Linked DNA regions of Schizosaccharomyces pombe. Changing the gene in region 1 together with any one later gene gives a genetic interaction. Each region holds a gene or a part of one and is shown in the gene's direction. Other genes may lie near its edges.

What was found.
Region 2: of mei2 (region 1) and mip1, a mutation in one rescues a mutant of the other (synthetic rescue), as found in Schizosaccharomyces pombe (one study listed by BioGRID).
Region 3: of mei2 (region 1) and lsc1, a mutation in one rescues a mutant of the other (synthetic rescue), as found in Schizosaccharomyces pombe (one study listed by BioGRID).
Region 4: of mei2 (region 1) and mei3, a mutation in one rescues a mutant of the other (synthetic rescue), as found in Schizosaccharomyces pombe (one study listed by BioGRID).

Annotation. Positions count from the first base shown.
Region 1 is NC_003424.3:4,509,625-4,518,586, reverse strand, and holds mei2 (RNA-binding protein Mei2), read left to right. Parts: upstream 1-3,561; 5' UTR 3,562-5,294; coding exon 5,295-7,547; 3' UTR 7,548-7,604; downstream 7,605-8,962. Other genes in the region: anaphase-promoting complex subunit Apc14, read left to right, coding at 291-614; omt2 (4-alpha-hydroxytetrahydrobiopterin dehydratase), read right to left, coding at 755-1,045; grp1 (GRIP domain-containing protein), read left to right, coding at 8,737-8,962. UniProt on the Schizosaccharomyces pombe protein: Crucial for commitment to meiosis but it is not sufficient itself for the commitment. May be a splicing regulator.
Region 2 is NC_003424.3:1,516,723-1,525,751, reverse strand, and holds mip1 (WD repeat-containing protein), read left to right. Parts: upstream 1-4,309; 5' UTR 4,310-4,461; coding exon 4,462-8,403; 3' UTR 8,404-8,529; downstream 8,530-9,029. Other genes in the region: rnf13 (RING finger protein), read left to right, coding at 1-721; coatomer gamma subunit Sec21, read right to left, coding at 1,220-1,855, 1,915-3,965, 4,010-4,040; ssz1 (putative heat shock protein Pdr13), read left to right, coding at 8,886-8,963. UniProt on the Schizosaccharomyces pombe protein: Component of TORC1, which regulates multiple cellular processes to control cell growth in response to environmental signals. Tor2 is essential for growth. Nutrient limitation and environmental stress signals cause inactivation of TORC1.
Region 3 is NC_003423.3:821,812-828,077, forward strand, and holds lsc1 (Lsk1 associated cyclin), read left to right. Parts: upstream 1-2,533; 5' UTR 2,534-2,562; coding exon 2,563-2,723; intron 2,724-2,767; coding exon 2,768-2,849; intron 2,850-2,993; exon of another isoform or gene 2,994-3,062; coding exon 3,063-3,188; exon of another isoform or gene 3,189-3,253; coding exon 3,254-3,377; exon of another isoform or gene 3,378-3,433; coding exon 3,434-3,936; 3' UTR 3,937-4,059; downstream 4,060-6,266. Other genes in the region: palmitoyl protein thioesterase/ dolichol pyrophosphate phosphatase fusion protein Pdf1, read right to left, coding at 1-1,338; SR protein-specific kinase Dsk1, read right to left, coding at 4,368-6,002.
Region 4 is NC_003423.3:716,144-722,526, forward strand, and holds mei3 (protein Mei3), read left to right. Parts: upstream 1-3,575; 5' UTR 3,576-3,662; coding exon 3,663-4,109; 3' UTR 4,110-4,847; downstream 4,848-6,383. Other genes in the region: ubiquitin-conjugating enzyme Ubc4, read left to right, coding at 1-83; cmt1 (catechol O-methyltransferase 1), read left to right, coding at 1,823-2,623; lsb1 (SH3 domain-containing protein), read right to left, coding at 5,310-6,200. UniProt on the Schizosaccharomyces pombe protein: Acts as a critical meiotic inducer by binding non-covalently to protein kinase ran1/pat1 inhibiting its enzymatic activity. Inhibits ran1/pat1 by acting as a pseudosubstrate for ran1/pat1 instead of its natural substrate ste11.

The DNA of each region.
Region 1 (8,962 bases):
ATTTTAATAACACACTCCACATTCTTATACCACAAGCATTGCTTTCTAACGATGGCAAGGAGTTTTGTTCAACTACGCACACAAGATAGTAAATAAACAAGAAAATCGGTGAAATTTCCTAATCACTTGTCCAAACCTCTTCACTTACTGCTTAAATACAAAAGAGATTACAATTTTCATATTTAAACGGTTCTCTTTTAAAGAAGAACAAATCAATGATTGAAGTCATTGTCTCTTAGTACTCACGGGGGTTTTTTTTACTTTTGTATATTAAAACGTTTCGAGGTCATATGGATCCGTTTGCTGGTACTGGTCAGTCCAAAAGTTATCGAACTTTTGGAAACGTCTTTCAAAGACTCTCCATGTCTGGCAACCCAAAACCTCTCGCCAAGAAACCACTTCTACTCCCTGAAGCTTCAAAAGCCATTGAATTTTGGAATTATCGAGATGTTATAGGTGGTGAAGAGGCCGAGCAAGAAAGAAATGAAAGGGCAAGTAGAATTGCAATATCCAGAATTGCTTCCAGCAGAAGTTCTATTCCAGAATACAGGCAAGCTATTATGCAGCATCTGACAAAACATGTTCAACAACTTGACCAGTTGGCTGAATGGTGATTAATGAGTTTATGATATAAATTCTTATCCTTTCAAACACCACATCACTAAACACTAAATTAATTCAAAATATTAAGAATAATTTCTGGCAATCTGTGTCTCAAGATAGTTTTCCGCTACTACCCTCTTGGTTGCAGCTTTCAGTTATCCTTTGCAAGTGTATCAATAAATTCTGCCAGCTTTAAATCTTTTTCTGTAAGTCCCTTTGTATCGTGAGTTGTCAACGTAATATCCACTTTATTGTATACATTAGTCCATTCGGGATGATGATTTAGCTGTTGTGCACGCAATGCGACACAGCTCATAAATCCCCAAGCTTCAATGAAGTTTTTAAAACGAAAGCTTTTAAATAGTTTTGTATCTCCTTGTTGAAGAATCCAGTTGTTTTTTGATTTCGAGACTAACGCCAGTAATCTAGCTGATGTGTTCATTTTTTCAACCTTCTAAACCAACGTTTATTCCAGAAAAAATGTTTTTCTTCAAAATTTAGGTAAAATATCAATGTGATGTGTGTAGAACGTAACTGTTTTAATACACTCAATTTACCTCCTTTTACTTTGGTATGTGAAAGAGAACGAAATCATATCGTCTTGTCTTATTCACAACATCAAAAGAGTAAATTTAGCTACTACGCTAAAAGAACCTCTTCTACAGAGGAGCATTAGAATTATATTTGTTAATTGTATAAACAGTTTCCTAGTTTTATTTCCAAAATAAATAAAATATGCTTGGTTTGGTCTTGTAGCATTTTATCCATCAGTTTTTATGGGTAAATAGTCATTCGCTCTTTTTAATGTTAAAATATTTTATTCATGGAACACTTCCTAATTTTTAAAAGTTTATCGACTTGGCTTCAACACATAGTGCTTCTATAAGTAACAAACATGTTTTAAAACAAGATATCAATACCATTAACAATATCATTTTATACATGGATCAATCATCCATTTATTCGATAACTATAATCAAATAACCTCCTGTTTGCATAAGAGAAAAGGTGAGACTTAGCTTACGAGACATTTATGAATAAAAATAAAAATACTTGTAAACAGTTAGGTTTCACTGCAGCAACATTCCAAATATCAAATGGGACCTTCAAACACAAAATTATAAAAACCCAAGACCGCCTCTTTTCTCGAGAAGCATGAAGCATTGAAACCAAACTCAAAAGGTTTCTTTCACGTCACTTATCAAAAAAATTGTGGAATTCCTTTGCTGACTGACATTTTCAAGCTCTTCAACTTCCTTTCACCCCTTCTTGTGTTTCGCTTCCAAGATGTATAAAATGAAGGAATTGTCATGTTGATTTTTCATCCTTTAAGAACAAGATTCCTCTTAGGTTTCTGTTCTTTCCTCAAATTCTCAATTGACATTTGTTGGTGATATAAACAACCATAGAGATAGAAGCGGTTTCTCAGGCCTTCATTTTTTTTAAACCTCAAAATTTAACTTTTGAACAATTCGTCACGTACATCAAACATCATAAACGTTTACGAAACGCATTGTCCCAAAAATAGTAAACTGGCTAAGCAATAAAACAAAAAATACACATATGTTTCTTATAAGACCTTTAATAAGAAAGCCAAAAAATATTTACTCAGCAAAGCTTTAATCTAACCATTGTTCACTGACTCTCGCTTTACTGAAGCAACATCGCTAATGATCATTTTACGTTTAAAAAAAAATAGAGTGTATACGAAAGCAAAACAAAACAAACAAAACAGAACAAAACAAAAATAATGTAAACCCAAAGTATAATCAAAAACCATCATCAGCCTTAAAATCTCTTATACATGCATACAAATCTTTTGGAATAGAATAAATATATCGCTTTTACTCTTTTTTTGTTCTGAATTCCCAACCTCTTTTTAATTGCCAAAAGTTATTAATGCTTCCTTCTTACTTGTCTTCGAGCACTTCTACAACCGTGGTACACACATATTTACCGATTTATACGTGATACATTAAAATCGAATGCGGCGTTTACTAATGTTTATAAACAAAAACGTGAGGTTGTCTACATTTACCTTCTCCACTTTTGCGCATAAAGCATTGTTTTCAAATCACTCAATAAATGCGATCTAGTTTGATCGTTGGCTAATTGGATTTCAGTGGGGAATTTTAATTGCCGAACAGCTTTATAGTTTATGTGAAAAGAAAAGAAAGTGAGCAAGTTGCTAATATTAAATGATGTAGTTATCTTTCATGCCAGAGAACAATCTGGATGTCAAACGACCTCTGTGTAAAACGCGCAAATATAGGAGACGCATGCGCTGAATAAGGGTTGAAAGAAGAAACACTGTTAAAAGAGGGTTTTGCATTGGCGAAAAAAGATGTATGGAAAAAAGCACGCGTAAATAACAAAAGAAATCCTTACCGAATTATACAGCAAGGTGGAGATTACTACACTAATGAAGGCAAATAAAAAATGTGATTTCTTTGACTTGTCCATGTTTTTCGGGATGGATACAACGTTGTTTTTTATCTATCATCTTTTTCAAACTTTCAAAAGGACTAACTTACCTTTACAAGCTATACACTAATTACCACTGATTTGAATAAATAGCCTTTTGCTTCAGTAGACAAAGCAAACACCATAAAAGAAAATGCATTTAGCGTTTCTCGCTATTTACTCTATCTAACGCGAGTCGCGTTGGCTTTCAATCTGTCCAAATTGGATCAGTTGTCCCGCTTTTTATGGGATTTTTTTTCCATTATCGTCCTCTTATATTAGAGCTTACTGACATCGCATCATAACTTTAGATAGAGTAACGAAAGCCGACCGATTTCTTTGTTCCTATTTTAAAGTTTCTTTGTTTTACAAACCCTTCTCGAGCTAGCCCCTCAGGGGCATTGCAAAAACGTTCACAGTAAATGCCTAACAGTAAAGGCTACTGAAATTTTCATCGTAGGTCTATAAATTTCGTTGATTCCCTTTGTTTTCAACGCTTTGTTTTCGCCACTGAAAGCTGCTGTTGAGATTCTTTGTTTACTTGGCTTACTTCGTTTCTTTGTTACTCTTCCCACTTTGTGTTACACGGGACAAAGGCAGGGGTAGCATAAACAGTACGTCCCATTCAATCAAGCATTCTCCCAGTAATTGTCGTAATATTTGCGAGCAAATAAAGTCCTTTTTGACTTTGTGATTTCTTTGAAATAACTTCTTTGTTCTCTAATTACTGTATCTCATTATAAAGCATCCAAGCCCTCTCATTATTCCCAACATACAATCCATCCTTCCTCCAGCAATCCGGCCGGACAGATTGTTGTAATTATCTTTACAGAACTATTTTGGGCTGGCTTTTTGATTTGTACTGAAAAGCATCGCATTGCATTGCATCGTTTTTGTTTTGTTTCGCTGCTGCCATTTAGGCTGTCGTATATTTTGTTTGTCTGAAACTTAACGTTCCTTTGTAATAGAGAAAGCAAAAAATATATACCCCATTTTAAAAAAGGAAAGGGAAATTGCTTTTTTTTTTTTTTTTTTTTTTTTTACACCTCTAGTTAGTTGAAAAACCATATGGAAAAAACTTAAGTTTTTATACATCGTGCATTTACTTCTTTTCCATTACTCCATCCTTGCCAATTGTTTCTCTTACCGTTCGCATTTTCCATCTTAATAGGACACACAGCTGCCATCATCCGCGCCAATAAACCTATCGACCGTAACAAAACATTGATACGTTTATTTATCTAATTCATTTCTTTCCTTCTTAAAATCCCCACCCGCATCTTTGTTACCTTTGAACGCAGTTGCTACTTCTCTTTTCTTTGTTTGTTTGTTTATTAATTACTTGTGCCCACTCCGAGACCAACCATCGCTTTCCCATTCCTTGTTGAAAATAGCCCATAGTAGGCATTCGCAAAGAAAGTTCAAATTATATCTTTTACCACATTATCTACATTTTCTGGCTGTATTCTTGAATCCTCATTTTGATCTTTACCAATTTTTCTTGAATCGTTATTGTCATTCCCTGATATCTTTTTCTCTTCTTTGTCCTAGAATCGATTCCTTTCTTCCCCTTTTTTCGTGTGCTTCACTTTTTAATTCCTTTTTTTGCAACCTAACTGATACGTATATATACATTTATATATATACGATTCCAATCCATTTTCTCTTCATATACGCATATACATTTTTTCTTGTATATATGTGTAAAGTTTCTAATCGATTATTTTAAATTTTTACTTGCGCTTTTCTTCTGTGGTGACAATATCCCATCTTTTTCTTTTTTTTTTAAAAAAATTAAAGGGTAGTTTCCTAGTTTTATCCCGAAAATTTCTCCTCCTCTAACGTTTGTTATTCTTTTGTTAATTTTATGAAAGACAAGTTTGTTTGTTCAAATCTTGGTTGTTATTCTTTTCGTTTGATTATATACATTTGAACGACAATTGTGATTTATTGTTGATTTTTTCTTTTCATTTCATTATTCTTTTGTTCTTTTGCATTTTCTCATCGTTTGTTTGATTTACTAACAACCATCTAACCCCTTCCTTTCTTTTCAACTTTCTGGTCTTTTAAAGTTTGTATTAACTTAATCCTTTGCAGTTCCTTTCTCTCCCTTTCTTACCACTTCTAAACAAAGTTTTATAAGTTATTAGTCATTAAGTAATTTTTTTTACTCTTTATCTATTTTAAGGATTATCGGCCAGCTTTATTGTTGCCGTTTTAACACATAAATGATTATGGAAACCGAATCACCTTTATCAATCACCTCCCCTTCTCCATCTGATTCAACTTTTCAAGTTGATATGGAGAAAACAATGCATGCTTTGCCCTCAAGTCTTCTTGACTCACCATTACTCTCTACTAACGAGCATTACCCTCCCAAGAGTACTTTACTTTTGAGTGGTCCTTCACCCATCAGAAATATTCAACTATCTGCTACCAAATCTAGTGAATCAAACTCAATTGATTATCTTACGGATACTCAAAATATCTTCCCCAACTTTGTTAATAACGAAAACAACTATCAGTTTTCAACCGCTCCTTTAAATCCTATTGATGCTTGTCGAGTTGGTGAACGGAAAGTATTCACTACAGGTAATGTTTTATTGTCAGCTGATCGACAACCTCTTAGTACATGGCAACAAAACATTTCTGTTCTCTCAGAATCCCCTCCGCAAAATGGCATTCAAAGTTACATTTCAAGTTCTGAGCAAGCAGCTCAGGCACTAACTCGTAAACCATCTGTTACCGGATTTCGTTCTTCCTCGCTTAACTCTAATTCTGACGATATAGATATATTTTCTCATGCTTCTCGTTACTTGTTCGTTACTAACCTTCCTCGTATTGTTCCTTATGCTACTTTATTGGAGCTTTTTTCAAAACTTGGAGATGTGAAAGGAATTGATACATCTTCATTGTCTACGGATGGTATATGCATTGTTGCTTTTTTCGATATTAGGCAAGCAATACAGGCCGCTAAATCACTGCGATCTCAGAGATTTTTTAATGATAGATTACTGTATTTCCAATTCTGCCAAAGAAGCAGCATTCAAAAAATGATTAATCAAGGTGCTACTATTCAATTCCTTGACGATAATGAAGGTCAACTTCTCTTAAATATGCAGGGAGGTTCTGTTCTGAGCATCCTTCAACTGCAATCTATACTTCAGACGTTCGGTCCACTTCTTATTATGAAGCCTTTAAGAAGTCAAAATGTTTCACAAATTATTTGCGAATTCTATGATACAAGAGATGCATCTTTTGCATTAGATGAATTGGATGGAAGAATTATTCATAATTGCTGCCTTCAAGTCGCTTATTACGATGCAATGGCTGATTCAGTTAGCACCTCTTCGGCCTCTAGCCTCTCTGTTCCAAGAGGATTTAGTGGGATGTTAAATAACAATTCTGAATGGAACAACTCTATGACAATGTCTTCTAACCAAGAAACTCCCACTGCTGCTAGTTGTGCTGTTTCAAGAATTGGTTCGAGTTATGGAATGTCGAATAACTTTGGATCCGTTCCCTTAGGACGCACTGAATCATCTCCAGCTTGGGGAACAAGCGGATATTACGATGTCTCTTCAACTAGCCCTGTTGCTCCCAGTGATCGAAATCCTTCCAGGCAGTATAATTCGATAAGGTATGGTTTAGATGTAAATCCTATTGCACCGCCAAATTCCTCACGTCTTAAGCAAAGGAATAGTGATTTACTGAACGGAATTAATCCACAATGGTCACCTTTTTCCTCTAATACTGGTAAAGTCTTTGATTCACCAACAGGTTCTCTTGGTATGAGGAGAAGTTTAACTGTTGGTGCAAATGCATCATGTAGTAATCCTACAAATTTAAGTTTTGCCTCACTTACTCTACACGACTCAAAAGCAGATTCTACACTATCTGCTTCTTCTCTGAATCCGGACTTGAATCTCCAAAGATATACTCCTACTGTTGAAAAACATGCTTCAGATAGAAATTCTGTCGATTATGCACAAATTGCGTCTGGAATTGACACAAGAACCACGGTAATGATAAAAAATATCCCGAATAAATTTACCCAGCAAATGCTAAGGGATTACATTGATGTTACCAACAAGGGTACCTATGATTTTCTTTATTTACGGATAGATTTTGTTAATAAATGCAATGTAGGATATGCGTTTATAAACTTTATTGAACCTCAATCTATCATTACCTTTGGCAAAGCTAGAGTGGGTACTCAATGGAACGTCTTTCACTCTGAAAAAATATGCGATATCAGCTATGCTAATATTCAAGGCAAAGACAGGCTGATTGAAAAATTCCGAAACTCGTGTGTTATGGACGAGAACCCTGCTTACCGCCCGAAAATATTTGTAAGCCATGGACCTAATAGAGGAATGGAAGAGCCTTTCCCTGCTCCCAATAATGCACGTCGTAAACTAAGATCTATTGCTAGTGCCCAACAAATAGGCTTGTTTCCTCCAACTGCAAGCAAATGTTGATTACGAAAGAGATCCTGTATTGTTTATGTTTACCTATCGCTTTGCTTACCCTTTCTTTTCTATATTTTATTTTTGTTCAATTCCAAAGTATATTATGATTGCTCCAAAAACTTCGGATGTTTTACAAATTGCAAGAATTTGCCTGCTTGTGTAAATTATATTCACTTCAAATATATGATGTTAATTTATGTTTCCAAATGGGAACGTTTTACGAAAGTATACTTATTCGATTTAATTATTAATAATGATTGATCATTTTTTGTATACGAATTTTTATGCCATAAGTTTATTATGATCAATGACGGCTCAATGCTAAATTTATGATTGCCTCAAATTTTATGTGACAAAGATCTAGTTATAGTGAACGTGCTAAAATTAACTTGTATTTTGACAAGATGGTCAACTTCACTCTGAGTATCGATATGTTTTATTCAAAATACATACTCTTACTTGAGACCTGTTTAATAAATGCCACATTGAAAAAAATGTTTAATTTTATAATTTATGCAAATAACGAGTTAAGGACAATTAAATTCCCCTTAACACAACTATTTAATCAGATAATTTCAATTGTACTGCTAGAAAATCTTCTCTCTTAAGTAACATGCTACTAAAGTCACATAAGATAGCAGTTATCGTACAAAAATGTATCTCTTATTGAAATATACGAGCTTAAAATCAGCTAGCGTTGCTTTGCTGAGAGTATATCTTCTTGCTATTAATTCCTTGTATCATTTTGGACTTACAAATAAACTTGTTAAAAAACATTCACTGTTTATTGCTTGAAGAGTTTTCAAATCTTCTAAATGTTTTCGGATCAGGCCTTGTGGTGAATTTTTATTATTAATAATAGATTGGGTAATCTCGGTTTCAATTCCATCGAATATAAAATTATCTTCAATCAATTTATATGGGCAATTTCATAGTTTATGCTTAATTTTGCTATACTAATACGGTACACAAGCATTTGATATTGTGAGATAGCGATACATTCAGTTAAAGGGTTAATCCATCTAACAGGGTGCAGTAGAATAGAGTACGCTAAAGTGGCAGAATGTTAACACTAGAATATTGTGCCATACCCAGTCAATTACAATATCTAACAACTAATATTTCCAAGCACGTATAAGATTAAATAACATTATACGATTTAATCTATGGGTACTTTCTTTCTTGGTTATCAATCAAAATGCTGGGAAGATTAAAAGATCAATTGAACATGACACTGGCCCAAGGCCAGGAAGAAGCTAAGAATCGACGTAGGCAGTTTCAAGAAGAAGATCAATTAAGAAGAAATAATAAATCTTCTAATAAGCTCTCTCAAAATGAAGAGGACGCGAAAAATATGGACTCCGTCGTACAAAAATTGAATGAACTACAAAATAACGTTGTAGCGTTTCAAAAGCTTCTACAGG
Region 2 (9,029 bases), 3.0 Mb from region 1:
GGGCGAGTCAAAGGATGAAGCAATATTGGATTTTCTCTTGGTTCAAAGAGGCAAGTGTACCTATTTTGATAAAGCATTGGAAGCCCAAAGGCTCGGATTTAAAGGGGTTATAGTTGGTGACAATCGATCACCTTCCTCATTTCGCTTACATTATATGGTTGCCCCCGATAAAGTGGACGAGTCAAAAGTTCATATTCCATCATTGTTTGTCTCTACTAGTTCTTATAATTTGTTATGGTCTGACTTACTGCATTCATATCGTCAGCCACTGAAATTATATGCAAAACCGGAGGAACTGGGTGATATGTTTTGGCCCTTCCTACTTTGCTTCTCTCCTTCCATTATTATGTTAATTACTGTGCAAGCCTTAGCCATTCGTAAATTTATTCGTACATATCGAACAAAATCTAAAACCAGACGATTTATTGAAGATCTCCCTTCTCGTACAATTTCTCGTGAAGGTTTTTACAGTGAAGAGGAAGAAATTGAGAATTCAACCCAAAATGGAGAACTTGTCCCTCTTATGGATGAGTCTACTCGCCGAGCGACTTTTGGTGTCGAATGTGTCATTTGTTTGGAGTCCTTTACGAAGGGAGACAAGGTTGTTGCTTTACCCTGTAAACATGAGTTCCATCGTCCATGTATTGCGAAATGGATCGTTGATTATCGACATGCTTGTCCAACCTGTAATACCGAAGTTCCACCACCCAAGCCATTCTAATCCTTGAAGATACACCTAATGTCCTACTTTGACTTATTCGTGCCACATTTTCCTATTTCCCGTTTCAGCCATGTATATTTGCTAACGACCCATGTTTTCATACAAGCTTTATTTGTTTATACTATATTTTAGTTTCTGTATTACTTTAATGATGTTACCCTTCTTTGTTTTATTCGTTTGTTCGGTGGTTGGATATTACGGATCAAAATGACTTAATATTAACTGCTTAAGTTTTTATGCATTTAATCCAGATTGTTGCTCAAATTTGTTAATTTATCGACACTTTTTATGAAAAAAGCTTTTGCATGCCATTGACGTTAAGGATAGTTAAAAAAGTTCATATTTTAACTCTCATTACTATTTACTTGTCCTTTGTTGTTCCATTTTGGCTCAATATTAAATTTTAGTATTTCCAAAATGTAAGAAATGCCTGTATTGTACTTACTAAATTATATAATTCAAGTAAAAATGAAAGTATCCATGCAGAATCTACACGATCTATGCAATTCCTCCAACTACCAACTCAACAGAGCTGTCACTCTCACCCCGAGCTATTACTTTAATTGTAATACCTTCGCCATCTTTTGAGTGAGCCATCTTCACCAATGCAAGTACCTTTTCTCCGTTAACAAGTTTACCGGAGAGTTTCATAACATGCACTGGCTTGTCAGTAGGATTCTCTGTGCCCTCGAGAGGTTGCATTTGAAGTAACTCAGCTACTCGTGAGCATGTGCTTCTAAACGAATCTAGCAGACTGAGTACGTAAACTTCAGAAGCTTCATGTTCAAGACTATCAAAAAGACCATCAAAGTTCGATTCGTATGCAGGAGAAATAAAATCACCGGCCGAGACATCCAAGTCATCAATTTTGTACTCATCTTCGTAACCCTCTTCTTCTGGTTCACCAGTATGGATGTCGATTTCTTTCGTAGTAAATTGAAGAGTGTTAGTAAGGGTAGTAAGAGGGTAAGGAACCGAGTCATTAAATTTAAAACTGACAAAGATAGAAACTGGTTCTCCTGAAACGATGGCAGCTGGGACGACACATTCTTCCACAAGGTCGTCAGTAGAAGGAGTAGAAACCACGACAGCATTTTCTAGGATAACTTCGGACAGAGTGTTATGAAGTTGAAACTAAAAGCATTAGTAATCAGCTGTAATTATAAAATTAAATATCAACAAAGAATACTTACCTGAACCACAAGATGGTCTTTGAACACATGCTTAACGACCTTAACAACAAATTCAGTTTCCTGCTCAGTGAGCTCAATAGGTGACGGCGATGATTTCAGTACTGGGCCATATTCATTAAATTCTGAAACGGATTCTAATGCGTTTAAAAACTCGGTTTCAATGTTAGAACTGGCAAGAGCATTTTGGTCCTCAGCAGGAGTAACCTCTGTAAACTCTACCTCTGTCGTGGCCTTTTTGATTCTCAAATTCTCAGCATCAATCTCTTCTTGAGATAGTACGGGCACAGATTTGATATCAAAGCCTTGTCCGAACTTCCTTTCAGAAATATATATAACAAGGCTACGCTCTAAAGCAGGTAATGAGGGAATTTTATCAGATTTAACCACTGGCAAAAATGCATCTCTATCCTCAAGCGCCTTTACACTAAAAGCAGCACGATCACGAACCTCGTCATCAGCATCTTCCAAACACCTTGTGAGAATAACCTTAACACTCCGTTGGACAAATTTATCTTCCGCATTCAATCCAAATTTGGTCAAAGCGCTAACGGCAGCGGAACGTACGATGGCATTCTCAAGCATAATCCGATTGTAAATATAGCGGATAAATCTCGTTGGTTCTGAGGCTTTAGGACCTTCTTCGCCGAGAATAGATAAAATCCGTACCGCAATCTTAGGATATTCACAATCCTCTATAAATTCACATAACTCGGCAAGGGCTCGTTCTTTAGATTCCGGAATGTATTTAATCATGTCAGAAATAGCATCAACGGCAGCACGTTTAAATTCATAACCACCTTCATCGCAAAGTATATTACTAAGAAAGGTAAGCATTGAATCTTGCTTGCGAGGAAATTTTAGACATAAAGAACGAATGGCATCAACGACGATAATTTTGAAATTATCTGAAATATCGGACATAAAGGTAACAATCTGTTTCATCAAACGGTCGACAGACTCATCATTACCAGTCTTTAGAAGTGTTGTGATAGCGTAGGTGGCAATGGAGCGATTCACGTCGGTAATTAAAGACTCGATATTAAGATTGCAGGAATGTACTAAGTGTGGACGTGTCATGGCTAACTCGTTAAGCGTACGAATAGCTGAAAATCGGGTAGCGGATCGGTGAGACGACAAGAAAATTTTAAGAACGCTAACCACAGGTTGCAAGTCATCATCTGAGATATTTTTGAGACGGACCATATTTCTAGCAACTTCTAAGTTTACCATGTCTCCTTTACTTTTTAACCACCCATGTAGAAATGGAACCATCTGGTCTCTAAATTGAGTGTTTTGATCCATTAGACTAGAAATGTAGCGGATAAGCATAACAAATGCATGAGAATTTGAGACTGTTCCTAAATTGCTTACAAGCAGCTGCAATAACTTATTCATTGCAATCGAATCATGTCTTCGAATACGGTACAGAAGACCTAAAGCATGATATTGAGAAATGCCGCTGGCATTTGGTGTGTAACCCAAGGTAGAGGTGAAAAAAGGAGAGCTAGCAACTTTTCTACCAACATTATGAGATGTGACCGCGTCTTGAACCTCGTTGTTCCAACGCGATACAATGTCTTTCGCAACAGGATATAAATGATATGCGGAAACAAGAGCAGCGCTGGCAACAGCTGATATGGGGTCAACAATACCCGTAGTTAAAATGCGTTCAATCGCAGGGACAGTGTTAGCATCAATGACACGAATCAAAGAGCGAATAGCATTAGGACGGTATATAGTTTCACGTCCCGTAGCGGTGTCTTTCATGATACTACTGGTAATCATAATCACATCTTCAGCAACAACGGAAAGCTCCTTGATAATAATATAAACAAATTGGCGAAGACTAGGGTCTTTGTGTTGGAAAAGTTTAGTAATACCAAAAAAGAGTTCTGTAGCTTGCTTTTCCTGGAAATGCTCTCCCGTATATATCAAGTAGGCGATTTTGCTAAGAAGACGTCTACTCTTTCTAGGGCTTATGGAAGATGAATTAAAAGCCCTAGCATCTTGAGTTACTGTGACTTGATTGACATTGGCAAATATCGATTCGTCTATTGTTAAAAGGTCAGCTCATAATTCCAAACAATCAACATACCACCATCATCATCTTTTTTAGAATAACTCATCTTCTTTACAAAAGTCTCTTGTATTTAGCAGAAATACAGATATAGAGAACTAAATGAACGTACTGGATGTATGTAGTAGATAAATAATTAGCTAGTAGGAGGTTTCGATTATTACCAAAGTATAACGTGTTGTGTATTTTATATTTCTTAAGTGGATTACTGAAGTATTTTACGAGCGTTAAACAGTATAACGAAATATGCCCATAAAACACTGCAAAAGTTCGTAACTTACATGGTTTAATTGCTTTGACATTTCTCCTATATCACTTGCGTAATTCGTATATACATACAGAGTCATCTTAATTTTCTCTTATTTTTTTTTGTTTTGTTAATTAAGTTTCCCTTGAGTTCCTGATTTACCGACCTTTTGTACATAGGGAAGAGTTCTTGAAATGTTGTATTTGATTTTGAGCTATGCGACATGAATGATAGAATTAGTGAAGTATCTGGTAGCTCAAGGGCTCGTAGATCAGTCTTAAGCTATGGAACAACCGAGACCGGAAGCGATAGATACACAGAGAACAGCAACATTGCTACAGAGAATGGTGTCGATACAGCGAGTTCAATGATAGATGGGATACAGTCCGGATTCCCGCAACCTAGACATGGTTTTGAAGAAGAGTACAACAATGCTGAATATATAAACATGTTAGAGCAGGTCTTTTACATGTATTACACTGATAAACGGCATCGGGGGGTGATCAGCAAAAAGAATGCCGAACCTACTGAAACAATTCATGATTGGAGAATGCGCGAACGGCTTAAAACTGTTTCTGCAGCATTGTTAGTTTGCTTAAACATAGGGGTGGATCCTCCTGATGTTATAAAGCCTAATCCTGCAGCGAAATATGAATGTTGGATTGATCCGTTTTCATTACCTGCTTCTAAAGCACTTGAAGCCATTGGCAAGAACTTGCAGCAACAATATGAAACATTAAGTATGAGAACAAGATATAGGCATTACCTTGATCCCGCAATTGAAGAAGTCAAAAAACTTTGCATTGGTCAAAGACGAAACGCTAAAGAGGAACGGATCCTTTTTCATTATAATGGTCATGGTGTCCCAATGCCTACTGCCTCTGGTGAAATCTGGGTTTTCAATAAAAATTATACTCAATACATTCCTGTATCGCTTTATGACTTACAATCTTGGCTTGGAGCGCCTTGTATATATGTTTACGATTGTAGCGCAGCTGGGAATATCATAGTGAATTTTAATCGTTTTGCCGAGCAGAGAGACAAAGAAGCTCTCCGTATTGCTAAGCAAAATCCCAATGTGCTCGCTATGCCTTCTCATACTAGTTGTATTCAACTTGCTGCTTGTGGGCCTAAAGAAACCCTTCCGATGAACCCAGATCTGCCAGCTGATTTGTTTACTTCTTGCCTTACCTCCCCAATTGAAATTTCGGTTCGTTGGTATGTCTTGCAAAACCCGTTTCCTAATAAGCTTAATTTGAATATGCTTCTTAAAATTCCCGGTCGCTTGCAAGATCGGCGTACTCCATTAGGCGAATTAAACTGGATATTTACTGCTATTACAGATACGATTGCTTGGAATGTCTTTCCAAAGCATCTTTTCAGAAGATTATTTAGGCAAGATCTTATGGTAGCAGCACTGTTTCGTAACTTTCTATTAGCGGAACGTATAATGCTCGTTCATTCCTGTCATCCTCAGTCCAGTCCTGAACTCCCCCCTACCCACGATCATCCTATGTGGAATTCTTGGGATTTGGCCATTGATAATTGTCTATCTCAGTTACCTGATATGCTTGATGCTGAAAGCAAAGGCATAGCCTACGAGTACAAGCATTCGACATTTTTTAGTGAGCAATTAACTGCCTTTGAGGTATGGCTCTCTCAAGGACTAATTAGCAGAAAGCCACCGGATCAATTACCGCTAGTTTTGCAGGTATTACTTTCACAAGTTCATCGATTGCGTGCACTAATTCTTCTCTCAAAATTTCTGGATCTCGGGGTGTGGGCGGTAGATTTAGCGCTCTCTATTGGTATATTTCCTTACGTTTTGAAACTTCTCCAGTCTCCAGCTATTGAGTTAAAGCCTGTGTTGGTATTTATTTGGGCGAGAATCCTTGCTGTAGATGATTCTTGTCAAGCTGACTTACTAAAAGACAATGGCTATGGATATTTTGTCCAAATTTTGAACCCTAATTCTTCCATTTTTCCTTCAAGTAATATTTCCGAACACCGAGCAATGTGTGCGTTCATCCTCAGTGTTTTTTGTCGTGGGTTCCCACAAGGCCAGCTAGCTTGTTTAAACCCACAGGTTTTATCACATTGTCTTTCCCATTTAAATAGTCCCGACTCTTTATTAAGACAATGGGCTTGCCTATGTATTTCTCAGCTTTGGGAAAATTACTCTGAAGCTAAATGGTCTGGAACTCGTGATAATGCACATGTAAAATTAGCTGAAATCATCGTTGACTCCGTTCCTGAAGTTCGTGCATCAGTTTTAACAGCGTTTACCACTTTTTTGGGATTTCCTGAGAAGACCGAAGAAGTCGTTGCTGTTGAAACTTATATTGCAATTGCGGCGTTAGCAGCTCTTTCTGATGCGTCACCATTAGTTCGACATGAACTAGTGATATTCCTTTCTCACTTTGTAGTGAATTATAAGAAGCAATTAATGGTAGTTGCGTATGAGAGCAGTTTAGCAGATATCCTTGAGAAAAAGAACCACAATTCTATCAGTGCTTCGACAATTTACGAAACAGTTTGGCAAGCTGTTTTGGTTTTGGCTGCAGATCCAAGCATCGAAATTTCTCTTGCAGCTGAAGCCATAATAAATTACGTTTATCAGAGTATGCTAAATTCTGAATTAAGAGAATCATTTTTAGCATTTCTTCTGCAACACTTACCTGCTCTCCATAAAGCTTCTCTTTCCAAAGATACCGATACTAATTCAGTTACGAGCGACCCGAAGCCACATCCCTTCGTTCCTTCTGTTTCAGAAAACAAAATCTTGAACAGGTCATTCTCTCTGACTAGATCGTTGAAAGGCTTGGCTTTAAGCCTGGCAGGAAGTGATCGCGCTTCTGAATTACTTTCCTTAAATGGAGAAAACAAACCTGCAGAGTCTAATTTAAATCACTTAACTTCCGCCAAAGTTCCTGGTCCACCTGCATTTAATGAACTTGAATACCAATCCGAGCTAGACATGCCGCTTACAAGTTACTTATTTGATTGGTCTCGTAAGTATTTTACCGAACCCCAAATGCGGCCGAACGAAGACGATGAACCTGGAAGTATTTGCTATAATCAACGTTTGTGGAGAAGAAACAGAAACGAAAAACTTATTTATCGTACTCGTCCCCTTGCTGAATACTCAACCAACGGTCGTTGGAATCAACAACTTATGACATTTAATAATACTATCGCTCCTAGGAAGCTTATGTTTCACCAATTTGAAGATCAGTTAATTACATTAGGTGACAAAGATATCATTCAGGTATGGGACTGGCGTCGCAATCGTTGCCTCAATTCTTTCAAAACTTCAGCAAGTGCGACAACTAACGTGACCGACATGCAATTACTAAATGAAGATGATGTTGCTTTATTGATGACTGGGTCTTCTGATGGCACAATTAAACTGTATCGTGACTACGAAAATGAAAAGGTTGAACTGGTAACTTCGTGGAATTCTCTAAGTGATCTTGTCTTTGGAGATCGAAATGCTAGCCTTTTAATGAGTTGGCAACAGAACTGTGGGCACTTGCTTGTTGCTGGAGACGTACGCGTTATTCGAATATGGGATGCTTCTAAAGAAATCTGCTATGCAAACCTACCAGTAAGAAGCAGTAATAGTATTACAAGTTTAACTAGCGATTTGGTCGGTTGTAATATTATAGTTGCTGGATTTTCAGATGGAGTTCTTCGTGTTTACGACAAACGATTGCCTGCAAGAGATTCACTAACGGATGTTTGGAAAGAACATTCGTCCGAGATCGTCAATGTTGAAATGCAATCCTCCGGAATGCGAGAATTGATTTCGGCGAGTTCAGATGGTGAAGTTAAGCTATGGGATATTAGGATGAATCATTCTTTACAGACTTTTTCAACAGACAACTCTGGACTCACCTCTTTAACTGTGCATAGTCACGCCCCAGTTTATGCAACCGGTTCCTCAAATCAAAGCATAAAAATTTGGGACACGTTAGGCCAGAATATTAATACCTTCCGTGAAAATCCACGGTTCCTTAATCAGCCTAAACCATCCAGTTTAATGTGCCTGAAGTTTCACCCGCATCATTTATTACTTGCATGTGGTGATAACACAGATAGTAGAGTTAATCTATACTCTTGCACCAAAAACGAGATTCATACGGATTCGCCGAACGAGTTTTAAACCATGTTTTCCTATAGTTTTAACATAATTTATTATTGATTACTTTACCTGATTAGACTTTTCTTTCTATTAGCAACACTTAATTTGGTTATTATACATATTTTGCTAAACCTGCCACTTTGCTTAGTCTTCTCCTTTGCCGTGTAACTCTGCTATAGATATTTGTAAAACCAATTTTTAATATGGTTTTGAAGAAGTTTAAAAAATCACTAATTTACAATTAAGATATTACATTCATCGAAAAATTGAATCTTTTATATACATTTTATGAAAAAGCTAGTAATTATCAATGTTTTTTAATGTCAAGAAAAAAAAGCTTTTTTTAACTTAAAAAATAATTAATAATATACTAATATACCAATTTATTTATTTATTCACAATTTCATGTTTTCGCATTGTACTATTACTTTCTTATATTCGGGTCGTAAATTCTGATGCAGCTGAAGCTAACGAAAACTCTCCCATTCAGCGAAAATTTTATAATGGCAGATTCCGAAGAATACAAGACTGTCATTGGAATTTCTTTTGGAAATCAAAACAGTTCTATTGCTTTTAATAGGGTAAGAAAATTTTTTTACTTGGAGAAATGAGTAATCTCCTAGTTCATTCGCATAGACTTGCTTTAT
Region 3 (6,266 bases), on another chromosome or scaffold:
TGTAAGGTAAATGATGCCAATAATCTGGGGAATTAAAGAAAACAACCCCAAAGTGCTTCTCCACATGTCATCAATGTGGTAGAAAAAGTGAGAAAATATAGTAATAAAAGCAAGGTTCGCAAATGATTTAGGTCCTTTTTCCTCCGAAACATTAGAAGCAGCGACAAACTCGGAAATGTAAGGATAGACTTCTTCAGAGTCTTCAGGAGTTACAATGCTTCTTTTCCTCATAGTAAGTTCTTTGAAATTTCTTTTTTCGGGGAACAAGGACTTTCCATGTAAATAATCAACCGTTCCATCAATGGCTGAAACTAATGGACTAACAAAGTATGTTGATAAGAAGTTGGAAGGTCTTGTAGATTCTTCTAGCTCAGTCTTTTCTTCTTTCTCATCTTTAAAATATTTCAAAACAAGAGCGTCAAAATCCCCCCATCTCATTTGCAAGTGCCTGCCAGGAAAACTGATGGTTTCCAGTTTCCCCTGGTTAACTAAATCCTTCAAGCCAAGGCTTTCGTAAAGAACAAAATCTTCCATTTCAATGTTTTCTCCTGTCGTTTCATTAATCCAACCAAATCCAGTCGAATATGGTGGCTCTACAATATCGTCACGTTCAAACGACACGGCAACCAAATTGTCCAACTCTTTCAACTTTTCGATATTTCTAGTGTAGTTGTCATGTAGTACTTCGTTGTTTAAATGAGTCAAAAACTTGTTGTTTTCCAAATACTTGTCATATTGCTTCTCCGTGCGGTAGTACTGTGCTTGCACGACGTGATTTTGTATCCATGAATGCCATATACCCAGTCCAAGAATTGAATGAACAACAGCCTTACAAATCAAATTAGTAGGAGAGCAACCTGGTATTGTATTGATTCCTGAATGCGGAGAACCCAATGTAATAAGTGAGCGAATTTTTGCCGCATCGCATGTCTGGGCTAAAGCTCTCAAAAACAATCCTCCTTGGCTTAATCCAAGCGCATAAAATCCGTTGGAAAGGGAATCTTCATTTCCTATCAAATCACAGACTTCATCCAATTGATCCTCTAGCTTACCTAAGTAGCCAGCTTTTATGTCTTCAAATTCGTTGTCACCGACGCGGATAGCATATACCGCACCTTTAGTTAGTTTCTGAACACGCTGGCTAACCTCTGTAAGAGTAAAACTAGTGGGAGTATCGCCCAAGCCATGCCAAATCACCACAGGTAATTGTTCAGAAGCTCCGTCATTAATAGCTAGTCGGACCTTATCCAAACTAATAATTGGTATTGCAAAACTTTTCATAGGTAAAAGAACCCAAGAGAATAGAAAAAAGATTAAAAATGAGCTACAGCTCAACATGGCGAAAATAAAGAGTGTTGAATACGGTTCAGAAAATTACCCAAGGAATTGATGAGTTACGTATTATCTAAGCTTTTATCTAAGCGAAAGTTTAAAGTTGTAATATATAAGTATGTATTAGACAATTGAAGTGTGAGATCAATTACAAAAATTGAAACAGAACTTTGCACAGGTATTTTTCAAGATGAAATTTGTATACTTCATCTACTTTTTGGATATTTTTAAATTCTCAAAAGGCAGTGTCTGGATTTGCAGAAATTGTGAACGATCTTTTTATCTGAAATGTTTGGAATAGAAAATAACCCTAAGAGATTAAAAAAATGCATATGACAACACTCAAATGGTTCAATTCTATGATTTATTTATTATTAAAATTACCATCCTAAAATTGAATCCTGGTATCACCATAAAATTATTCAGTTGTGGGCCTTTCTCATGTACTAAGCATGGTAAATTATCATTAATAAAGAAGTGAAAATACATATCTTCTTGTGCAGCAGAATTTAAATTATAATGAACGTAAAAATTGCTGAAATAATGAAGCAATGTATAGTATAAATAATTAAAAGATATTATCATCCTATATCTACTAGTTTAATAAGAAAAAAAATAAGAGAGTTTCACTTTAAAAGATTGAAAGGAAAGCTTTCAGGAAATGTTTGGCGTTTATAATCGCAAAAATTAATTAGTTAATAAGAATATGCAAAATGATAGAATTATTAGGAAAATATGAATTTATTAGATGTTTAATGTTTTCTTATGATAGCTCAATTTGACGAAATGTCTGTTTCATTAGACAAAAAAAAATGCAAAAAATATTTTAATTAACAGACAAATTGGCGTGAAGGTCATAGCGTCTCTATTCCTTACTTAAATAACTAATTTACTAAAATCATGTTGTAGTGTAGGAGTTCGCTACTTTCAGAAATTAAACGACGAACACTCCGAAGGTTAAACAATCATTTTATTTTAGAAATGAGTAATTTCATAACTCTTTTACAATAGCACGCAGGACTGTCATAATTTACAAATTCAATAACTGCGAACATTTCCATGATAATTTCGAGCTGCAATTGCTGAATTAAAATTATTTTATTTTAATTGATTTACAGTATACAACATGATAAAATGCGTTACTTAAAAGGAATCGCTTAACTTCAGCATACTTGCACCTTGCAGGTAAAGCCAGGCCTTCACAAACCCAGCACCATTTTAGCTGCTAAAATGGCAGAAAATGAGAATCATGTACTTTCAATACGAATGTCACACCCATACTATTCAGAAAAAGAAATAAGTCGAATTTTGTCGACGCGAGATCCCAAAGAAAATAATTTGCGAATGCAGGCGTTCGCTTGGATATCAACACTTTCAAAAACTTTAAAATTGTATGCTTTTCCTCAAAATTATCTAGAATCTAACTTTTTTTTAGCCCTGTAAGGACCAGCGGCCTTGCAATGCTTTTATACAGTCGTTTCCAACTATTTTTTCCCGTGAATGAAATTCCTTTGCTGGTATGTTATTTGGATGTCTTTCGCACATGAGTATGCTGTGCTATTTGAAATTTTACGTATTCTGATATAAGAATATTCTGAATGCTGTACATTGGTCATACTATTAAAAAAGACTACAGTTTTTAATAATGTTAGCTCAGCTACTCCAAGTTATAAACATCATATTCTCTTGATTTAGGCTCTTTTTCTTTCAAAAATAACTAACACATTTAGGAGTGCGCTACTGCTTGCTTAGTAGTTGCTAGTAAAATCGAAGATACGGCCAAAAAGTTTCGTGATATTCTTTTAGCACATTATCTTCAAAAGCATCCAGGTTCTGAGGTCGATGCTCATTCACAAGTATGTTACAAGGTGCGCAATAATTGTTTTTTGTTTATAAGGAGACTTGCTTACAGGTGTATTAGCTAATCGAAGAGAACAAGAAGAGGATTCTAGGTTTAGAAAGAATGACACTGGAATTGATTTGTTTCGATTTTCGAGTCCGACATCCACACAATTACATGGTAAAATTTGCAAAATCACTGAAATGTATGACTGCTATTCATTTTACCTTATAATTTTCGAGTTAACTAATTTACTTTCAGTTTCATCTTCCACGGCAAGTATAGCTTGGAATGTCTGCACTGATGCTTATAAAACATACACAATGTTAAAATATCCAGCCCATATTGTTGCCGTCGCATCGATTTCTATTGCTTGCAAGTTACAGCAACTTCCTCAACCTATAATTCCCAGATCGTTCTTCGCTCCACCAGCACTAACGGAAGCAGTGATTGCGGATATACTCGATCTATATATGCATTATCAGCCTCACACTTGCATTGGTAATATGTATACAACGGAAAAATTACTTGGATTATGTGTTGACTTCCAACGAGCCCAAAAAAACTCTGGCCGTCCTCAAAAACCACCCCAAATTGACCCTCATTCTTCTTCTTTAGCAGATGAATACCGTGAGTCAAATAAGAGACTTCAAGAATCCAAAGAAAGTTGTGCCAGATTTATTTTAGACTGCGATAGAAAGTATTTTAATACCGAATTTGAAAAACGAATGCTGGAAGAAAGGAGAAATAAAGGTACGGTTTAATCTAATGGTTCCTTAATGAGTTATCTTACCATCGGTTTGTTCCTTCTTTCGACAGCATTCTGAACAGTATATTAATATGTGACATTACAAGTTACCAATTTCCAATTAACTTCCTTTTGAATGACAAAACTTTATTTTATGCGTTTTCTAAACATAATATGATTTAAAAAGCAGCTGACCTAAACCCTGCTATATCTTAAATATTCATTAAGTAAAAGGAAATTTCGTTCAAATTTCAGTGCAGTAAATGTTGATCAAAAGAAGGAATCGTGATAATCATACGTAACCCATTTCAGAGTGAAAGGTGTCATGCTTTTTTAAAGCAATCACGCTAATGGTGGGAAATTAAAAAAGGGACGATATCGCAAAAAAAAACTATATATAAAAAAAAATCATTTACTAGCGCTTCAAAACCAATATCAAGGTAAACACTAACGAATTTCAGTAGCCCATCCGGGTACATCTTCACCGGTTGCTCCAGTAGTCTCGATTTTGAACGTAGGATCAGCCACTTCGCGCAACCATGGAGAATTGCTCATGTAACCAGCATTGGTTCGCTTGGCAGGATCAAAACATAACATAGGAGATAAAAAGTCTGATATTTGTTGAGCCAACTCGGCTGAAAAATGGTATTTTTGCTCCAAAACATCTTTTAAAGGCCAAAACTTCAATTTATGAATATTTCGGAGTTCACCGCGACGGTTAAATAAATCGCGGGAGTGCTTTCCTGAAAGTGCCATTTGCTTAGGATAATTAACCAATAACTCAATAATTTGGGCAATGTGGTCATCCTCCTTAGAATAAGAATTCCCATTCCGTGGATCGAAAAGGTAATCGCCGGTTAGCAATTCAAAAATGATACAGGCAAAACTCCAGCAATCAGCGGAAGCTCCCCAGCGACATCCTAGAATTACTTCTGGAGACCTATACTGACGGGTTTGCACATCGTTGGTGAAATGCTTCCGTGTCCAGCACGCGTTACCGAGATCGGCAATTTTAACAGTGATTTTTGGAACGGGTTCCTGAGAACCGTTAACACCATCAAGTATAAGAGAATTATCTCCACTAGAAAACGGAGAATTAGGATGAGAATTATGCTTTTGAGAGTCACGAAGGCTGATTTCTGAAACAGCACCTTCTAATGAAGGAAAGCGGCTCAAAGTGGAAGTAAAAGGACTGCTAGGAATGACCTGGCCAGCAGGCTTAGAATTCTTAGTTGGATTTTTTGCAAATGTCTTGCGTTCTTGGGCAGAGTTATCTACAGATTGGCCACGTTTAATAATTGGAGCTTTGGCTGTATAACCAGTGTTATTTCTTGTTTTTGAAGAAGAGGTATTAGAAGTGGGGGAGGAAGTTGTTGCAGGTGCCTCAATATGTTGCAAGGCATCCTGATCAATGCATATTAAAACATTTTCGGGTTTAAGATCAGTATGAATGATCCCGCATTCTCGATGCAAGTAATCCAGAGCGATGAGTAATTGGTAGGCAATTTGCTTTACAATACCCACAGGTACTCCTCGATGGCCGTATGACTGTATCAAACTTAAAAGATTCTCACCGAGAACTTCGAATACCATACAGACATGAGCTCCATTAGGACCACGATGCACAAAATAATCGAGCAAAGAAATGATATGCTTTTTGCCCAAATGCTTTTCGTCCCCTTCTCTAATTTTCTGCAAAATGCGAATTTCATCAATTGAGGTCTCTCGATAGTGCTCTGCTGAACGCACCACCTTCAAAGCTACTCTCCGTTTGGCAGCTCGATCATATGCAAGCCAAACCGTTGAAAAATGTCCCCAGCCTAATTTTCTTTCAACGACATATCGACGGTGATGAAATTCTTCACCAATGTAGACTGGGTGGTATCCACCATAGTGATAGTCCTCTGCATTTTCTTCGTGCGTTTTTACCTTTTCCACCATGCTTTTTCCGTCTACTTCAGCATTGACCTTTTTATTAACATTTTTTCCATTCGTGATCACCTTTTCACTGACATGGTCAACTATTTCAGTGTGTCCCGGTTGTGACACTTTCGGTGACAAACTCGACCCGTCACTTCCCATTTCAAAATGGCTGGCTGCCCCGTATGAAGAAACTACTGATATGTCCCTCCAGCTCTTAAATTAAAATATCTGAGATATGTGAATACACCAATTCCTTCGTTGTTGTTGTTGTTTGTTCTGGTTATAAATACGGTATGGAGTAGTATTTTTAGTGCGAAAATCAACACGGGGAAACACCGTGGAGTCTTAGCACACTACCGAGGAAACTTTGCGCATTAGGAAGAGCGTTTCGATATAGTAAATAACAAAAAATGGGAAAATGGT
Region 4 (6,383 bases), on another chromosome or scaffold:
CTGAAATTGCGCACGTCTACAAAACTGACAGATCCCGTTATGAATTAAGTGCTCGTGAATGGACTAGAAAATACGCAATCTAGAGTTTGTTTCTGTGTTGATATTAAATATTCATCTCTTTTGCGAATTGTTTTCTCCAATGTATTGTATAGTTTTTTTTTTTTTTTTTTGGTTTTGGTTTTTTAAATAAATAGTAGGGGATGGCGATAATGTAGCTAGTAAAGTTGCATCGTAAAATTGAGGATACAAGCTGCCTTTAAAACAAACTGTATTATGTTCGAGGATAAAGTATGATTTGATTTAGATAATTTTTATGATTTTTTGAATAGTACAAAATTTTTCTTTGTGTTTAATAAGACCGAATGGGTCCAGTTGGATTATTCCAAGAGCGTTTGTGCATATATTTTTAAAAAGGTACGTAAACACTGCCGATTAAGTGAAATATTGTGCAAGTAAAAGTAGAATAACACGAATGGAAAGTCGTGTTACGAAGAGAGTAAACGGCTCTACGTCTTTAAGGTTTTGCTAAAAATATTTATTAAACAAAACTAAGTAATAAACAAATTCCTTGTAGCGCCTTTTTGCTGAAAAGAAAATGATAATACTTGACATGCAATACGAAGTGATACTGCTATAGACACAACTCATAATAGCCAGTCAATTCAACTCCTAGTTTTGTATTTGTCTTTACAACGTCGTCTATTGAGCTATTTTATGCTGTGATGTTGAGTATAAATCAACGAAAATTTTGATTTCATTATTACTGAGATATATATTTTGTAAGAGCTTTTTTTTTAACCCTCTCACTCTTCTTTACTCATGGAATATTTACTTTTATGAAAACGCTTCTCGTATCCTGTAACATAAAAGAAAAATAAAAATTTATTAAATTAACTGTTATATATTATTTATTTTGCTTAGAGAATATACATGGCCCCTTAACTCAGTTGGTAGAGTGTGAGATTCCAAATCTCAAAGTCAAGTGTTCAAGTCACTTAGGGGTCATTTTTTTAAAATCAAGAAACTTGATAAATCATAAGCTTGTTTAAGTTGAAGTTTTAGTAGGTAAAGGAAAGTTGAAAGAAATGTAAAATGAAATGTTTTCTTAAACATAAAAAATAACCAGTTGATCGGAACCAATTTGAGTTTGTAGCGAAATACCATGTTTTTGAGTTGCAAACGCATAAAAACTTGACGGTGTGGATCGAATTTAGCGAATTAAAATCATGTACTTCATAACAATAATAATAGTTTAACAATAGGAGAAAGAGCTGAACAATTATAAATAAATTTATGCAGTACATACAGATGAATCTGATGTTTCTAGATCCGGTACATTTGCACTCGAAATGTTTATCACATAACGAACAATATCGATTATTCAATACAGTCTGTTATTAAACTATAACGATACGTTGTAATTGCGTTGATGTTTCACCCAAAATCAAATAGTGTAAAATCATATACTTGCGGATCTATGTTTACAGAAACACTGTTTTGTTTCAATATATTTCACAATTCCTTCAGTGCAACGCAGTGTAGTCTGCTATTCTGTTGCCTCAAAGTCCAAAGTTTCCATATGGCGCAAAGTATAAAGGTACTGCTGTAACATAAGGGTCTTGACTCACCGAGCCTCGGTCTCTAGATGTGCTAGATGTCCTATGATACGGTGGGTAGTTTGTAAAGATGCGTGGCGTAGTGACAACATACGAGGTGCATCGAATTCAGCAACATTCCATCCCTCGTAACTATATAAAGTGCATGGTATTGCGTATGCAGAGCTGAAAATCAACTTTTAACCAACCTTTCGAAATTTGAAATCATGCCTCATATGGAAGACAACGGTAGTGAAAAGGAACAGCTGTTTCTGCAACACATTCAAAATCTGCCTCAAGAGCGCTTGGATGCGATTCGCGGGCATCCTGAGTTGGTTCTTAAGGAAATCGATGAATTCACGTATCCAGACGGATCTGGAGTGAGAATGTGTATAGGAGATGTTAAAGGTGGATTTATCGTTGGGAAAATTCGTGAACGGAAGCCGAAAATCATGGTTGAGTTAGGCGGCTATTTGGGCTACTCAGCTATTTTGTTTGGAAATGAAATCTCCAAAATTCCTGGTGGTCGTTATTACAGCTTGGAAGTGAATGAGGATTATGCCAAGATTGCTTACGAGTTGGTTAAGTTGGCCGGTCTGGATGAAATAGTCACCATCATGATTGGCAAGGCTTGCGACAGTTTGGTCGAACTGCAACAGAAATTATTGCATAAAGACCTTGGTTTTCAAGCTTTGGACATGGTATTTATCGACCACTGGAAGGACCTTTATGTGCCTGACTTGAGGGTTATTGAATCACTTAATATGATTGCTCCGGGAACCCTTCTAGTGGCCGATAATATTATAACACCTGGTGCTCCTGAATATCATAAATATGTTAATATGAGTCCTGAAGAACGTAGAGGATATCAAGCCAAGGTTCGCAATGTCAATGGATTCGATTTCATCGGCAGATGGGATTTGATATATAAGACTGAAACTAAAGAATTTGAGGGTGTCATTCGCAATAAACACCGCAAAGACGCTGTCGACGTTACGGAGTGTGTTGGCTATGCTAAAAAAGATTAGGTACCAAAGGCATTCCCTAATCTTTTTATAATTGACTTTATGTGGTATCTGATACCTTTTACGATCTTTTGAAGCCCAGTTTATACAGCATACAATCGTGTCTGGGATCCCATTCTTTGCTCGTCCAGATATTGTTTGCTAATGTTATAAATTATAGTTGACAATGAATTGATTTCTCTTTTAATCCCGTTGCTTGATTCTAAAAACGATGTGTAAAATGTCAAGTATAGTATAGTAATTTAAGTTTCCTGTTCACTATTACATTTGGAATGTGCCCATTCTGTTAGATGAACGCATGATCGTCAATAGAGAAGTACTAAAGAAATCGTTAACTTGCATACTATAAATGTGCACTGCTAATTACTCTACTCGCAAATACGAAGAACACCTAGCTGGATATATCTACCTTTCATGCAATGATTGAGCGAGCACGAAAGCAAAGTGGTAAGCTTGCATTGTGGAATGTAGCAATCTCTAAAAACACATTACTGTAATACTGTTTTTTGCGTTATTCAATTCAATGTTGTTTAGCCTGAGTTATTTTTTAAGGAAATCTAACGAATGATATCGAAACTTAACACGAGTTTGATTTGTTTACGCTGCTCTCTAAATGAAAAGCGTGTCGCGCCGCGTAGCATGCCACTTCGCAAGCATTAAAAGCTGGAAATGAAGAGTAGAAAATATAATAGTAGTAGTTCATTTGAAAACATAAAATATACTTGTTTCTTACTTCTCATTTGGTCTTTACTATCATTTTCTAAATTTTGCATTTTCACTTTCTGTACTGTGATTGTATACAAAAAAATAATCTTTTATTTGTTTAATAGTTTTTTTTGTTTCATTTGCAAATATCAAATACTTTACACGAAATTGAAAAACCTCCGTGAGCCATGGGTTTGAAAGAAATGTGCTGCGTTAGTATAAGTATGAGTGCTTAGTCGCTCATTTCTGCATCCATTTTCTTATCCTCTTATTCTTTCTATTATCTAATTCACATCAAACTATATTCTACTTTTACAATCACTTTCTACTTCTAACAATGAGCTCTCAAAACACCTCCAACAGCCGTCACCCAGCAAGCAGCGCTTCTGCTTTACCAAATCGCACCAATACGGCAAGACGCTCAACTTCTCCCAGAACTAGTACTGGAAGCTCCAGTACTAACACTAACACCAAAACTGTTGACCATGCCGGTACCACTTTCATCAGCTCTACAAGCAAACGCGGCCGTTCTACCAAAGCTGGATCGGTACATAGCGTTCCCATGAAACGCACTAAACGTGTTCGCCGAACCCCTGCACAACGCATTGAACATGAAAATAAAGAAAATATTCAGACTGAAAAGGTTTATAGGATTAAGCCTGTCCAAAGAGTTCTTTCTCCCTCAGACCTCACTAACGAACTAACCATCCTGGACCTATTTCATGTTCCTCGACCTAACGAGACTTTTGACATCACCGACCGTGTAAACAACACCTCTCGCTAAGCAACTGCTTAAATTAGCTTAATTTTCTTCGATCCTGAATGACTAATGCCGAAGGGGAATATGAACACCACATAAAAATTGAAAGAAATTCTCTTTCGAGCATTAATTTTTATTAATTAAACCGCTGTTATAGGAAATTTTCATCCTAACTATACAGCTATTATATTTGAACTTGCATACTTATTTTCATGTTTTCCATTTTTACAACAAAAAAGAAAAAAAATTAAAACAAATTTAGTCCTTTCATTCATTCCCCAGTGCTTTCAGACGCTTTTTATAACAATTCTCCCTTGAGTTTCATTTCTGTTCATAGTCTCATTATTCTTTATTGTGTGTTGACTTCTTTTATTTTTAAACAAAGGTTCATTTTTATTGTCGTTCTCTTTTTTTTTTGAAATTCTGCTACTTTCTCTTGGAATCCCCATCAACGTGTTACCGAATTTGATTCATCATTATTCATACATCTTCCATTTTTGTTGGACATTCGCTGTCTCCAGTTTTTACTTTATCTTCCCATTTTAATAATGTGAGTCTTTACATTCATGGGATTTCCACGTCGATTCTTTTTTATTGCTTAATGGAAACGATTCTGACCGGACATCGTAATTAAATCTCTAACAAAGGCTACCTAATTTATACTTCCTCATCCGTTTACTATTTTTTGCTTTAATATACGTTAAGCAATAGAACAATTTACCATAGCATATTAACAAATCTAATACACTGTCATTCGTTCCCTATTAATCATATTTTTGCTTTGTAATTTATTTTTTTTATTATGGAATTAAAATATAAACGGTATGAAAGTCGTAAAAAGAAAAACACTAAAAATAAACAAAAGTCAAGAGACATGCGTATTTAATAGTACGCATCGATAATCATAAAGAATATGCAACAATGTTTGGATATCGAATTCATACACATAAATGAGGTGTCTCAATCTATGAAGAAGCAGCTATGCCGCGGTGTTGCTTTATAAGCATAAAGCATAGTCGAGAAAAAGACAAAAGACCAAAGGAGTAAACATGAACAAGGGAAATGCATTCGCGATATACGGAAATTTCTACTTGGAAATTTCAAAATAAAAAACAACTGCGCACCAACGATAACAAACACAGGTGCTAGTTCAACCACACAGAAAGTTTTACTTATATAAAGGAAGAAAAAAAGCATAGAAAAAGGAAAGAAACGAACTCGCATTTAAAAAATGGAATTGACGAGATCAGCGCCAGCAGTTGCACCAGCACCGAATACAAATGCAGAACCCAAACCACTACCAATCTTCTTGAATGTTGATGAGTGCTTGTGCTCGGTCGGTTGTGCAACCACGATGGGTTGTTGAGGCGCCTGAGGATAGGCTTGGACAGGTGGATATGGTGCTTGCTGAGGTGGATATGCTGTTTGCTGATACTGCATGGGAGGTGCCGAAGAAGATGCTGCTGGGGGATAGTTTTGCTGTGGTGGAGGAGGAGGAGGTTGAGCTTTAACGGCAGAATCTTCCAACAAACGCACATAGTTAGAAGGGAAGATTCCTTCCTTTCCATTCAATTCACCACGCCACCAATCGTTATTGACATGCTCAAGTACAATGATAACTTCGCCAGCATGGAAACCTAAATCACCAGCATCAGGGCCAGGAAAGTCGTACATCGCCAAAACCCGCTCAACGTTCTTATGGGCAGTATTGGGTCCAGGATAGCTGGGAGGAGGGGGAAGCTTCTCGGTAGATGAATTGACACTTGAAGCCTCGCTTTGCTTCTGTGGGGCAGGCACTCCAGGCAGCTTACGAGGTTCCTCGGGTGTCCTCTTTTCTCCAGAGTTTTGAGACAAAGACATTGCTGCTACGGCAGACGCTACCGATCCTGCTCTTTTTTCCACAGAGCTCTTCCGCTTGGGCAAGGGAAGGGGTACTGAGGACTCAACAGGTTGAGCAGCTGGAGCAGTTACAGGACTAGCGGGACCGTCCTGTAAATGGATATTTGCGTGAACCCAATCCAAAGCACTCCTTTCAACTACGCCCTCATCAACAAGGAATTGGAAGTCGTTGTAGATTCCACGAATAACATGATTCAGGTAGTTTTTATGATCCATATTTCTATGGAAATTTATTACTTAACTCTTTAAGATCTCAAATAAAAATTATTTCAGTTAATTCTTATCAATCTTTAAAAGTTTTGCTGATTAGTGGTAATGGCGGAAGGTAGGTTTACAACTACCGCTTGGTGTGTATACCTGGTAGGTATATATATGGAAAAAACATACGAAGATCGTGGC